Drosophila melanogaster: one gene and its partners. Changing the gene in region 3 together with the main gene of any one other region gives a genetic interaction. Each region holds a gene or a part of one and is shown on either strand. Other genes may lie near its edges. The genes, in order: lilli, mid and gcm.

Region 1 (3,770 bases), 6.7 Mb from region 3:
TTAAGCAGTAATGGAGTTGACAGGTAGATGGTATATATATCTATATCTATACAATCAAGTACACCCATTAGTTTCGAATACACATACTACTTCCCAATAATTACACTGTTGGCATAAGTGAAACTCATTAAACATTCAGGGTGTGAACTTAACGCATATGTTTCCAGGCGCACGCTACTGCAATCAATAAATCTACTGATAAAAGGCGCCTTTTGTGCCGATCTAGTGACTAAGAAGCCTGCTCCCCATTTATAAAGGGGAATACTTTAATCGGTTCTATAGATAACTCATTTATTTCGAAGCCGAACACTATTTTGCATCAGCTGAAAAGTAAATCTTAAGTCTTAAAGAACCCTAATTGATAAATGTATCTTGAAATATATAAATATGACGCACAAAATGAGTTGAAAGATACAAACATTGAAAGCTGGTAGAAGTGTGCTATCTAGAAAATGCTGATAAGTTTAGACACAGATGTTGTGAAAACAACAAATATCGAGTTAGATACAAAAGTATCTAGTATATATTGTAGTACCGAGTACACGTAGGTACACGAGGGTTAAGGCCACGTTAGCAGCCAGGCACTATCTGCACTCACTTGCAACCGGTTCCGGTTTGCCCGCATCCTGTTCTCCACCCACTTGCGATGCAAATCAGTCGAAACTATGCGATCCAATCGCCCCCGAAATGGGACACTCTATGTGTACCTGTGATCTTTGGGTTCCGATGCGAGAAAGCGATTGCAAAAGTTGTCTAGCGAGATTCGGTCGAAACGGCTGCCAACTGAATCGTTGGACTTTTCTATGCTTTTTTTTTATCAGCCCCCCCTAATGACCTTGCAAATGAGAAAGTTCCTGCTGACTGGTCACCCTAATGCGAATACGAAAATATTTCAAAATAAACCGGCCGGCATTAAGATGTTGATAGAAAACCCACTAGTCATCTCTTTCGTAACTAAAATCAAAATTTGCATAATTGTTAACAAAAGCGTGCTTAGCGGCCATTGCGTATCTATATTTAAATGTCTTGTAAACATACATTTTCAGATACAAATTGGCACAATCGAATAGAATAGAACTTGAAACGATTATTCTGCGAGTCATTTGATGTTTTACTTCCGCGTCAAAAGAGCAGCAATTTGAGGAATTCGCATGTGTGCGTGTGTGTGTGAGAGAGCGCCATGAAATTGGCATTAAATTTGTGCTGTGGATTGCCCTTTTGACCTTTTCCTTACTTTTCTCTTTCGCACATCGGTGTTCGTCATTCTGTCGTCGTTACTTTTCACTTAAATTATGTAAATACGCGAGCGTTTGTTTATTTCGGATCGATTGCTGCCGATCGCCGAGCGGAACGCACTAATGTCGATCTAATCTAATGATGGCCGCGCCCGCCGAATGATAAACTCTGATCAGGAAGCCAACGCGCACGGAATGGCGTCTTGGAATCAACTAAAAACATTTATTTACCACCTGCTCATTTATATGCTGCAGCCCTATCAGCTGTTCGCTGCGGCGCCCACTATCAGCGCATACGGCCACACTGCGGGGGCGGCAGGGATGCCAAAAATTGATGTGGATAACATAGAAATATTTAAAATTGTGAAATTATTCGATTTTGATAAGTATACTTCTTAACGGAATTCTGATAACAGGTGCAGAAATCCAGTGCATAGTACTATAATTGACATATATTAGAGGATTCGTTGTGCCTTAATCCGCTATTTAAATCAATAAGGATTTATCATAGATTCATTCGTAGATTCTTATCATTATTTTGTACCGACAAATAAGATAATTGGATTCAATAGATATTCATTCAAGCTAAGTGTAGATTAGATTATATAGGTATATCATATTTCCCATTAAGATACTTGCCCATTCCAAAATTGGGTTTTCTGGATTAGACATTGAGATAAGAAACCAGTGTTGAAAACCAACACTGAAAACTGCTTATGAATTTTCAAAAACGCTCGGATAAACACATTGCTAGATAAAACTCAGATCGTTAGACAAACCGGTTCCAAAAATCATTCATTAAGTAAGAGAAAATCGAAATTTTTAGCAAATATGCGGTACCGACATTTTCCAGAACTGGACCTATCGTCGCACAGCTGATCGCCCGCCAATCAGCTGGGCGATAGTTGCCGTATCGATAGCCGACCCATCGATAACGATATGTGTATTTTCCTGCTCTCTCTGCACCAACACAAAACACGCAACTAAATTTCGGTTAAAAACCCCTACTAAAAACAATGCAATCGAAACGGAACCATATAAAGTGATTAAATGGCCAACGCGGCGGAGGCGAAATGCGAGCGCAGTGCATTTTCCGGATGAAATCGCGTTTTCGGGGAAACTTACACAAACATTTTTTTCGTAAGCGCTCTCATGTTGTCTCTTTCGCACAGCAGAATTACTAGTTGCTGTGTGTGTGCGTGCGTGCGTTTGTGTGTGCCGTATGCCGTGTGCCAGTGTGTGCGTGCGTGTGAGTGTGAGTGTGAGTGACTTTGACTGCAGTTCGCGTACGTTTTTTATTAATACACCACATAACAACAATCACAACAACAACAAACAGTAATGGAAACTAAACATATTTAATGCGAGGAGACCAGAAATCGTCTAAAACGGCAAGGCTTTATCACCATCGCCACCACCACCAACAGCACAGCAACAACAACAAATTACTACAGCATATATGCTAGTGTGCGTAAACGTATTTGTGTTAAATAATGTTTAAACTGGCATTTCTGATTTCGCACACAAAACAATATTAAGTTGTAGTCACCAGCAGAGAGGAGCAATTGAAGCAAACGAAAAAGAGGTAAGTGCAAAAAGCAGACAATTGTTATAAACAAAATGTGTCAAAAGTTCGTCATGTCGTCGCGCGCTCTCTCTCTCTTTTTTGCTCGTTCTCCCTCTCTCTCTCCGCTCTGTCCTTCTCTCTCCCGCCACGCCGAAAAGAAATTAATTTTGATATTTTTTCCCTGCTTTTTTGTTGCACTCTCTCGCTCTCGCAAACTTTTAATTTTAATTTGCTATGCGCAGCGAATTCGCGCGCAAAGGCAACAAAAAAAGAGGCAATGCAAAGGCAGCAGCAACAACAATACAGGCAAAGTAATAAACGTCAAAATGCCAGACGGACAATTCCTCTCTCATGCGCTCTTTCCGTCGCTGTGTGCGTGCGTGTGTGTGTGTGTGTTTGGGTTTGCTAGCTTTTTGTTTTTATCAATTATTTAGGTAGGTGTTTGCCTTAAAAAGAATAACTGAAACGCAGAAAAATACCAATACTTGTATACTCCAAGTAAAAAAGGGTGAAAGGACACTATCGGCTCAACAAGGAGAATGCAAATGCTATAAGTAGGAGGGGGAGAGAGAGTCACACGCACACACACCTCAAGCAATTCTGATAAGAACAATTGTTATTTGTTTGAAAGCCGACATTCCAATAGTCCACGTCCATTCGCCCAAACGTTGAAAATAATCGACAAACTTAAATACTATTGTGTTTGTTCGCGAACCCAGAGATGCTTTGCCAACTGATGAAATAAATATGGCCAATGCCGTCAGAATAAAGCGAAAATACCATTGTGGTTGGAATTCTCTTAATGTTAACATTGATTACTCCATTTTCTACTTTCTAAACAATGTATTGTATTCAATATTTATATTGATAATATCGAAATAGATAATTGCAGTATTTAATTGTTTTTGTACTTCGAATTAGAAATATGACTTTAATCACGTACGCAACAACCCATGCTTTCTTCCTAA
Region 2 (3,770 bases), 4.1 Mb from region 3:
ACGACGACCGCTGGCTTAATTGTCAAACTGAACACAAATCGGCAATTAAACAGCCCGAAACTCTAGCTGCGATTGCTCTTTTCCATTGCATAAACAAAAGCGGAGGGCTTTCGTTCAAGGTGTGTGCGCAAAAGTTGATGAATAATATTTTTGGGCTTATCCATGGGCGAACTCTCACATACGCTTTCCATTTTCCATAAGCCGAAAATGGTAACAAAATGATGGGGAGAACTAAGCAGCCCGGTTTTTTTGCAGGTGAGCCCAGACGGTAGGTGTTAAAATGCAAAGTAAGCAAACGGAAAACGGAAAGCGACCACAGAAAACAAAAAAAACAAAACAAAATATGAAATTAAAAAAGCTGCATATTTGATAAAGAGATCGTAAAATACGAACACCTCGTAGCGTTTTTGTTTTGATTTCGGCCGTCGCTAATTTTCTGCGCCTCGTAAAATTAATAAAATGAAGCACATTGTTGAAAATTAATTAACATAATTAGCAGCCTTTGTTAAATATGAATTCCGCGCGATTAGATGCTGTGCACAATTTGCATATTATCATAATATCGGCCACAAAAGAGCGCTGCAAGTGTTTGCTAACAAATATCTGGATTCGCGATCTTTGGCTCGACTTAATTGCGAATGCCGTCGGCCAGAGAGAACTAGTTTTTTCTTTTTTAACGTGGCCGGAACGCCTGCTAATTGTCATTAGCAATTAAATGGAACTCTGCGCACCCAAAGCGACAACAGTAATTTAATAGATTTGTTGTGCAATCAATTAGCGATTGTCTTGTGGCTAATAATGTTTGCATTCGCTGGTCAAGTTTGCGGTTCTCTTCTTGGGCGTTGAGTTGTTAATCACGTTTAATTTGAATTAATCGTATAAAAATTCCATTTTTGTTTTAGCAATTTCTAGTTATTGTGTGCTGGTATGTTAAGTAAGTTTTTGTACAGAAAGCACTGCTAGGAGATAAGTGAATATCTAAAGTTACAACTACCTACTATGATTAAAGATTGTTGAATTAGGGAACTTATAGCTTGTCAAATGAAGTTCTAAACAAAAGTACCCTATGGTATTTGAGACTACAGAAATGAAAGTATCTTAAAGATATTCTACATCTCATCAATGAATCTTGCTGTAAGTCTGTTAAGCCTAAAAAAATCTTGTTTAAAAATCACTATATAATCGAAATGCTTAATATTCAAGGCATTAAATTTCTAATGCATAAAAATATATTTTTAAGAACAAATTGTTCCTATCAACCGATTAATGATTCTGCCGCTTCCCACAGAATTCCTTTCTTATTAAGGATATTTTCAATATGTATCTGAACTTACTTGCACTGCGAATGGAGGACTCCCGACTGGAGGCATCTTCGCGAGCCATGATGGCGGCGATGGAAAAGTCCGTCGCTGAGCCGGCGGCACTTTTGCTAGCCGTTGTTGTTGTCTGTCCACTGGCATTTGGTGCTGCAGGGGCGGCGGGCACCCCGTTGCACAAATACGGATGAGATCCAACCAGCATTTTGAAGGGTATGATGTTGTTCTTAATGGGGCTTTAACTAGGGAATACCTTGGAAAGGTATTGGGGTATTGTATCTGGTCACTTTTCAACACTTGGCACTTATAAAGCTAGATGCATCTTTAGCTTTGGTAACTCGAGGGGTATGTGTATGTTTCAAGGTGTAAGTATCTTGTATCTTTATATCTCTCTTGCTTTCTTTTGCTTATCTTTGGCGCACGCGAACTGAGAATCTCGCGGACTGAGTGTGTGCGCAACGGAAGGCAGGCGACGACGAACTGAATTGTGTCAGGAAAATGTTGCCGCTGAGAAGCCAAAAACGACGGCAGGCGCAAAACTCGGGAAACCAGTTATTCCTCTTATGGTCCCTATGTGTGCAAGCGAGACCACCCTACAGCGAGCCGCGCCAGTACGAGTGCAAGCGGGATAGCCCTATAGCCGCACACTCTGAGTGAAAACGCCACTCGCTCTCTCGTTTTCCAATTGGAAAATCGGCGGGGGAGTGAACGTGCGACAGAGAGAAAGGCGGCGCTGTCAGCAACTTGCGCCCCTCTCTTTTCTTCGCCTCACCTCTCTCTCTGACGAACGCGTCATAACTCATTTACAATTAAAAATGTCGGCGCTTTTGGCCTTCTCCCTCGCACCTCTCTATTTCTCCATAGCGAGGTCTCTTTCTTTTTATTTTTGCCTCTCTTTCTCGCCCATTTATGAAGTGCCAACGTTTTGCTTGCGGTTTTTCTTGGTCTTTTTTTTTAAACAACTTTTCGCCGTTGTCGTCGCATTCCATTTCCTGTTATCTCCTCTTCTGACGTTTTCTTCCATCTTCCGTCTGTTCCATTTCGTTTCCAACACGTTCCGTGTCTCACTCAATTCTGTTTTGAGTGAGTTTTATGTCTCTGTTTTTTTTCTGCAGTTGCATCCCGTTGTTTTTCCTTTCTTATTTATCTGCAAGGACATGGACCTTGAGTCAAGGTTATTGCAATGGGACGTTGGGAATTTATTAGTTTGAGCTCGAGAAATTTTTCTGTGCTCTAAAAACATGAATAAAGAGTGCGAAAATAACTACAAGTTTATTTAAAATGTATATGCAATTTGAATTTATTTCGGTAAAGGGAAGAACATATTTTAAACAATTCGCTTAGTACATATTATAGAAGTCCATTTGAAAACATAGTATATCTATAAGCATTAGTCAAGACATTTTTATTTGTAAAGCTATATTTTTTTATATTCAAGAGGATATGATCATGAAATTTAGATTATGGCGATTCAAAAAGTTAACAGGGATATTTTTCCGTTAGTAATTATATACAATTCCACACGCTGTATGATAGAAGCTAGTCCTCTGGAAAATTCCCCCATAATATTTACAGATGTCAACAAATTGTTATGTTTCCCAGGCAAAAGTCAAGACCTTTGTCAGTGCCAATTAACCCGCTAAAAAATGCAAAGAAAATGCGGCTGCGACAAGGAAACTCGAAACAACTGACAGTTCGTCACATTCATTACGTATTGCTCGGATTGCCAATTGCCATGACGGAAATCCTGCGATCCTGAAAAACGGAACGCGGAGATCCAAACTAACTAACAAGCTGACTAATCCCGCTTATCCTGTGCGAGGAACAAACCGTCTTGTTGTGTGATTTTTGTAATTTGAGACATTTTTTAAGTCGGGTAGCGACAAAGTGGGCATGTCACTTTGACACTTTCGCCCTGGGAGAAATGGTGAAAGTGGACGGGGAGGGATGCGTCGTGTGTGTTCTGGTTACAATTGCAGTTAAGTTGATAGCTATAAAATGTTTTATCAGCATTAACAAATTCAAAAGCAAAACGGACGATAGCATTATAGATTGGGATAACTTTAAATACAATTTTATGACACAAGAACGCTGGTTCTAAAAAGTAGAGTGCATACTTTGATTCTAGAAAAAGGTTTACACTTCCTTTCATAAAAAGAGCCTATGTTCCTAATATGTTGGCCTTGTCTGTGCATCTACATGTGTGTCTTTTTAGGTGGCAGTCCCGTATGTCACCAAAATGTCAAAAGCCAAGGAAAACACAAGTTGTGAAAACAAAGGGCGGTCGATCTGAAAAAAAAGTGGCCACTTGGCACTTGTAAAAATAAACAATTCTGCTTGTTAATTAGTGCGGCTAACTGTCCTCGTTTGACTTTCTCCTTGTTATGTCCTTTCCCTCTCGAAATCTCAAGTATTTGGCCCTCGGCTTTGTCGGCAATTTATAATTTCTTCGAT
Region 3 (3,728 bases):
TATACTGACAATGATTACGAGCTCCCTTGCTTGACACGTGTCAATTCTCAAAAAAAGGCTGCTTCGATTAAGTTTTTCTTTCAAAAATGTTTATTACTACAAAAAAGTTCATAAATAGGTGGGAAATGTGACTTAAAACTCTATGTGCTTAAGAATACTATTACTCTTACGTGCTCTAAAACTTTGGAATAGCTGGGAAACAAGTACAAAAGTACAAACTAGAAACGTTCAATATATAATAATACACGACCAACAAGCAATGGGAACATGAATGGAAATCAATCAACTAGGGACTAGAACAACGCTTGAGTGGCTCAGTAATAGTAGTTGCGATGAGAGATCTTATCCCGATCCCCTAGCAATAGATGGGATCCGTGCTGTTGACTGGGTGATATGTCGCGTCCATTTGAATGTTCCACGAGTTGTCCACTCCCGTATTGCTGTAGTAGTAGTCGGCGGACTGCATCTGATCCTGCGGCTCCTGTTGATAATTGGTGAGATGCGGAAAAGTTCCCTGTTGCTGATGTTGCTGATAGGCGGTTGCTTCGTCGTAGATGAGATCCACGCCACTGGTCCCTCCGCCATTCAGAGTTGACTCAAACACACTGAAGATCTCCGAGCTGGTTGTGTAGAAACTTGCATCCTGGCTAAGATTCTGGCTTTGGCTTCCATTGCTCACGTCCAGCGAGTTGGGTAGATATCCATTGTAGTAGCCATAATCCTCGGAACAGTAGCCCGAGCTGCTGGTCAAACTGGACGTATCGTCGCATATTTCATACGAAGGCATTCCGCACTGAAGGCTGGAGGAGATTGGCTGGCTGGGATCATAGCTGACTGGTACATGTTGCTGCGGTGAGAGTTGCTGCTGGTATTGTGAGTGCTGCAGTTGCTGCGGTTTGTTCTCCTGGTAATAACTGCCCGTGGAGCTATGCGCTGAGAGAGGTGAGTGGAGCATATCGTAGGAGTACATTCCATTGGCATAGCATGGATCCTCCGTTTCGTAGTGAATCTCTCTATTCCACTGACTGATCACTGATCCTTGTCCTGCTGGGACATATGAACCCTGAGATTGATTAAAGTTGGTGCTATGTGTGGGCGTCGATGTGGGCAGGTAGGTGGTGGGTGGCACCACTAACTCCTGCTTGGTTTCGAGCACATCGGAAGCACCCATCCTTCTGCGCTTGCTCTCCTGGATGGACTGAGTCTTGGCCTGCCGTTTTGTGGGTCTCAGGCTACTCAGCTTGTCGCTCAGCGCCGATTCCCTGGCCAACATTACGGCCAAACTTCGCACACGTCTTCCTCCTGCCAAAAGTCGCCTGGCTTCCGTGGATCCCTTGGCTTCGGGTCTGGGGTGATCGTGGGTGCCCTTGGCCTGGAAATAGATTCCATTTCCGTCCCTGCGCCAGAAGTGGGTCACTGGATAGCCGCAGTGGCCGCGGCAAGCCTGGATTTCCAAGCGACCATTGCAATTTCTGTCAAGAAAAAAAAATAAAAATACCGAGTTAGTTTTGACAATTCTTGGATTTTGTGTTTAGTCAAAAACCCACCTATTGGGACACTGTTTGCCCTGCTGCTTCCTTCTGGCCTTGTCGCAAATGGCGGGTCTCAGATGCACACTGGCTCCATTGGGCAACTTGCACTTGGCACTGCAGAGGAGCACTCCCAGGCAGCTCTTCTTTAGGATATTCACGTTGTGGTTGTTGGTGTTTCGCATGGCCCAACCGCTGGCATGTTTCCTGGCCTCATCACTCTGCACGGAGTAGATGAGCCGGCAATGTCCGTTGGACCAGTCATTGAAATCGTCAAACTCCCCCACCGACGGCATCTTGGAATCGTTGATGTCCCAGTCGATCGCCACCCGGGACTTGGTGGCCGGAGGACTGGGCACAGGCATGGGCACTGGCATCGGTACTGGCATTGTTATAGGCATGCCGTTCAAAACCATTTTTGATGTGTCTATGTAATCGTTAGTTTCAAGTTCACACGCGGTCACTATAGTTTTCCTTCTCAATAGTCTATTACTACTGTGTACTTCTTCTCAACTTTTCTCTGGAGCGACGCGTCCGTTCGCATCGACTGCGCAAGGCTGACTAACTGGGCCCGCTCTGCGCAGCACAGTTAAGTTGCCAGCGGTCGAATCGCACGAGGGTTGCTCGGTCGCAAAGCGGTACGCCCATTGGTCCATGCTGACTTCCAGTTCGGGTGCGCTTGTGTGCGGCTTATCCGCCTTATCCGGCACTCCAGTTTGGGAAATTAGGAGAGTTCCCGAGCAGGTTTGATTGGTAGTAGTGGTAGCAGCAGCTGGAGATGGAGAATTCGTTCTATAGGGAACTGGGAGCTGGGAGAGCTTGAGCACAGGGAGCTGGGAGCTGGGAACTGGCAACTGGGCAGGGAGACGAGTGCTGTGCTGCTCTAGCACCTGCGGTTGCAGCACGCGCTCCACTGGGTAATTGTACGATATGAGAACCAGGGGTTTGAGGCACTCGATGGCAAAGAACACGGCCCCAACCCCAGTCAAAGCTAATTAAGTTCAGAAAAAAAGTTTACAACATCAGTAATGGAAATGGAGATGGGGATGGGGCTGTGTGTGGATGGGGATGTGCTGTATGGCATGGGTTCTGATGGGTACACCTGGCGACAGTCACTGGCAGATGCCAGTGGTCGGGCCTATTTACTTTCGAACTGGATGTGGATGTCGAAATGGGGAGCAAAGTGAAATGGTTGGAGGGCAAGCAGAGTTACGAACAAAATGGAGATGGTTCCAACGAAGCACGGAAAGTAATTTAGTTCAAGGCTTTAAGACTTTTTTAATGCGGACATTAAAGCTGCTAAATCTACTTAACTTCAGAGGTAGAAATTATTCTGTAAAAAAATTTCAAAATCAAACGTAAATTTTAATGGAAATGACTCACAGAAATATAGAAATATTACCACTATATATAGTCACTATTATAGAATTTGGTAAGGCAACGGTATAGCTAACGGAACTACTTCTCACGATCTCAAAATCGATAAAGAAATAAACGTTTGCAAAAAAAGAAACCGAAATGTCGAGCTCCTGCCGATATCTTCAAGATGAAATCAGGGATCTCATAATCGTAAAACACAATTTAGCACGCAAAAAAACGGAAATCAAAAAGAAGAAATCCCATATTGGAAAACCTCCCCTACAAACCCAAAGGCAAATGCCATAACTCACGCATATGAATGAAGCAAAGTTTGCCAAACAAATTCCTTGGGCCCCTTGGCGATCTCAAGTCAGAGATAAACGAAACAAACATAATCATTAAGATGACGAAAGGGTGAGGAAACTCCATAATTTTCACACTTCCACGACAGACCAAATGCCATGCAATTATGACACGAACTGAGCGAGCAACCCGCGGCGCCTTTCTGCCAAGGAGTCGCCCAAAGATCAGGATCGTAGCACGCGATAGGAACTCAAAGGATTACGGCGGACAATGGGAAAGGGTGCTCCGACCGGGACTCGAGGGGCGTTGACACAGAAGAAAGTCATGACGTGGCATATTATGAGGCTGTGCTGGGGAAGCACATCCTACCTGGTCCCAGATTCCCGCACTCAAGGTGGGTGTGTCGCCTTAATGATGCCCGGAATTAACTGTTCCGTTTCAATTACGAGACATCACTTGGCAATCAAATTTATTTGACACTTTCTCTGCGGGGGCCAGTGGAGAACAGAACTCTTTTCTTTCCCAATGAAACTCAGT

The links.
Region 1: of gcm (region 3) and lilli, changing one suppresses a phenotype caused by changing the other (phenotypic suppression), as found in Drosophila melanogaster (one study listed by BioGRID).
Region 2: of gcm (region 3) and mid, changing one suppresses a phenotype caused by changing the other (phenotypic suppression), as found in Drosophila melanogaster (one study listed by BioGRID).

Annotation. Positions count from the first base shown.
Region 1 is NT_033779.5:2,883,759-2,887,528, forward strand, and holds the start of lilli (lilliputian), read left to right. Parts: upstream 1-2,170; 5' UTR 2,171-2,820; intron 2,821-3,770. Other genes in the region: NTPase, read right to left, coding at 1,235-1,264. UniProt on the Drosophila melanogaster protein: Has a role in transcriptional regulation. Acts in parallel with the Ras/MAPK and the PI3K/PKB pathways in the control of cell identity and cellular growth.
Region 2 is NT_033779.5:5,459,669-5,463,438, reverse strand, and holds the start of mid (midline), read right to left. Parts: upstream 1,801-3,770; 5' UTR 1,522-1,800; coding exon 1,335-1,521; intron 1-1,334.
Region 3 is NT_033779.5:9,579,648-9,583,375, forward strand, and holds the start of gcm (glial cells missing), read right to left. Parts: upstream 2,099-3,728; 5' UTR 1,946-2,098; coding exon 1,548-1,945; intron 1,473-1,547; coding exon 356-1,472; 3' UTR 1-355. UniProt on the Drosophila melanogaster protein: Transcription factor that induces gliogenesis. It determines the choice between glial and neuronal fates. Also has a role in the differentiation of the plasmatocyte/macrophage lineage of hemocytes.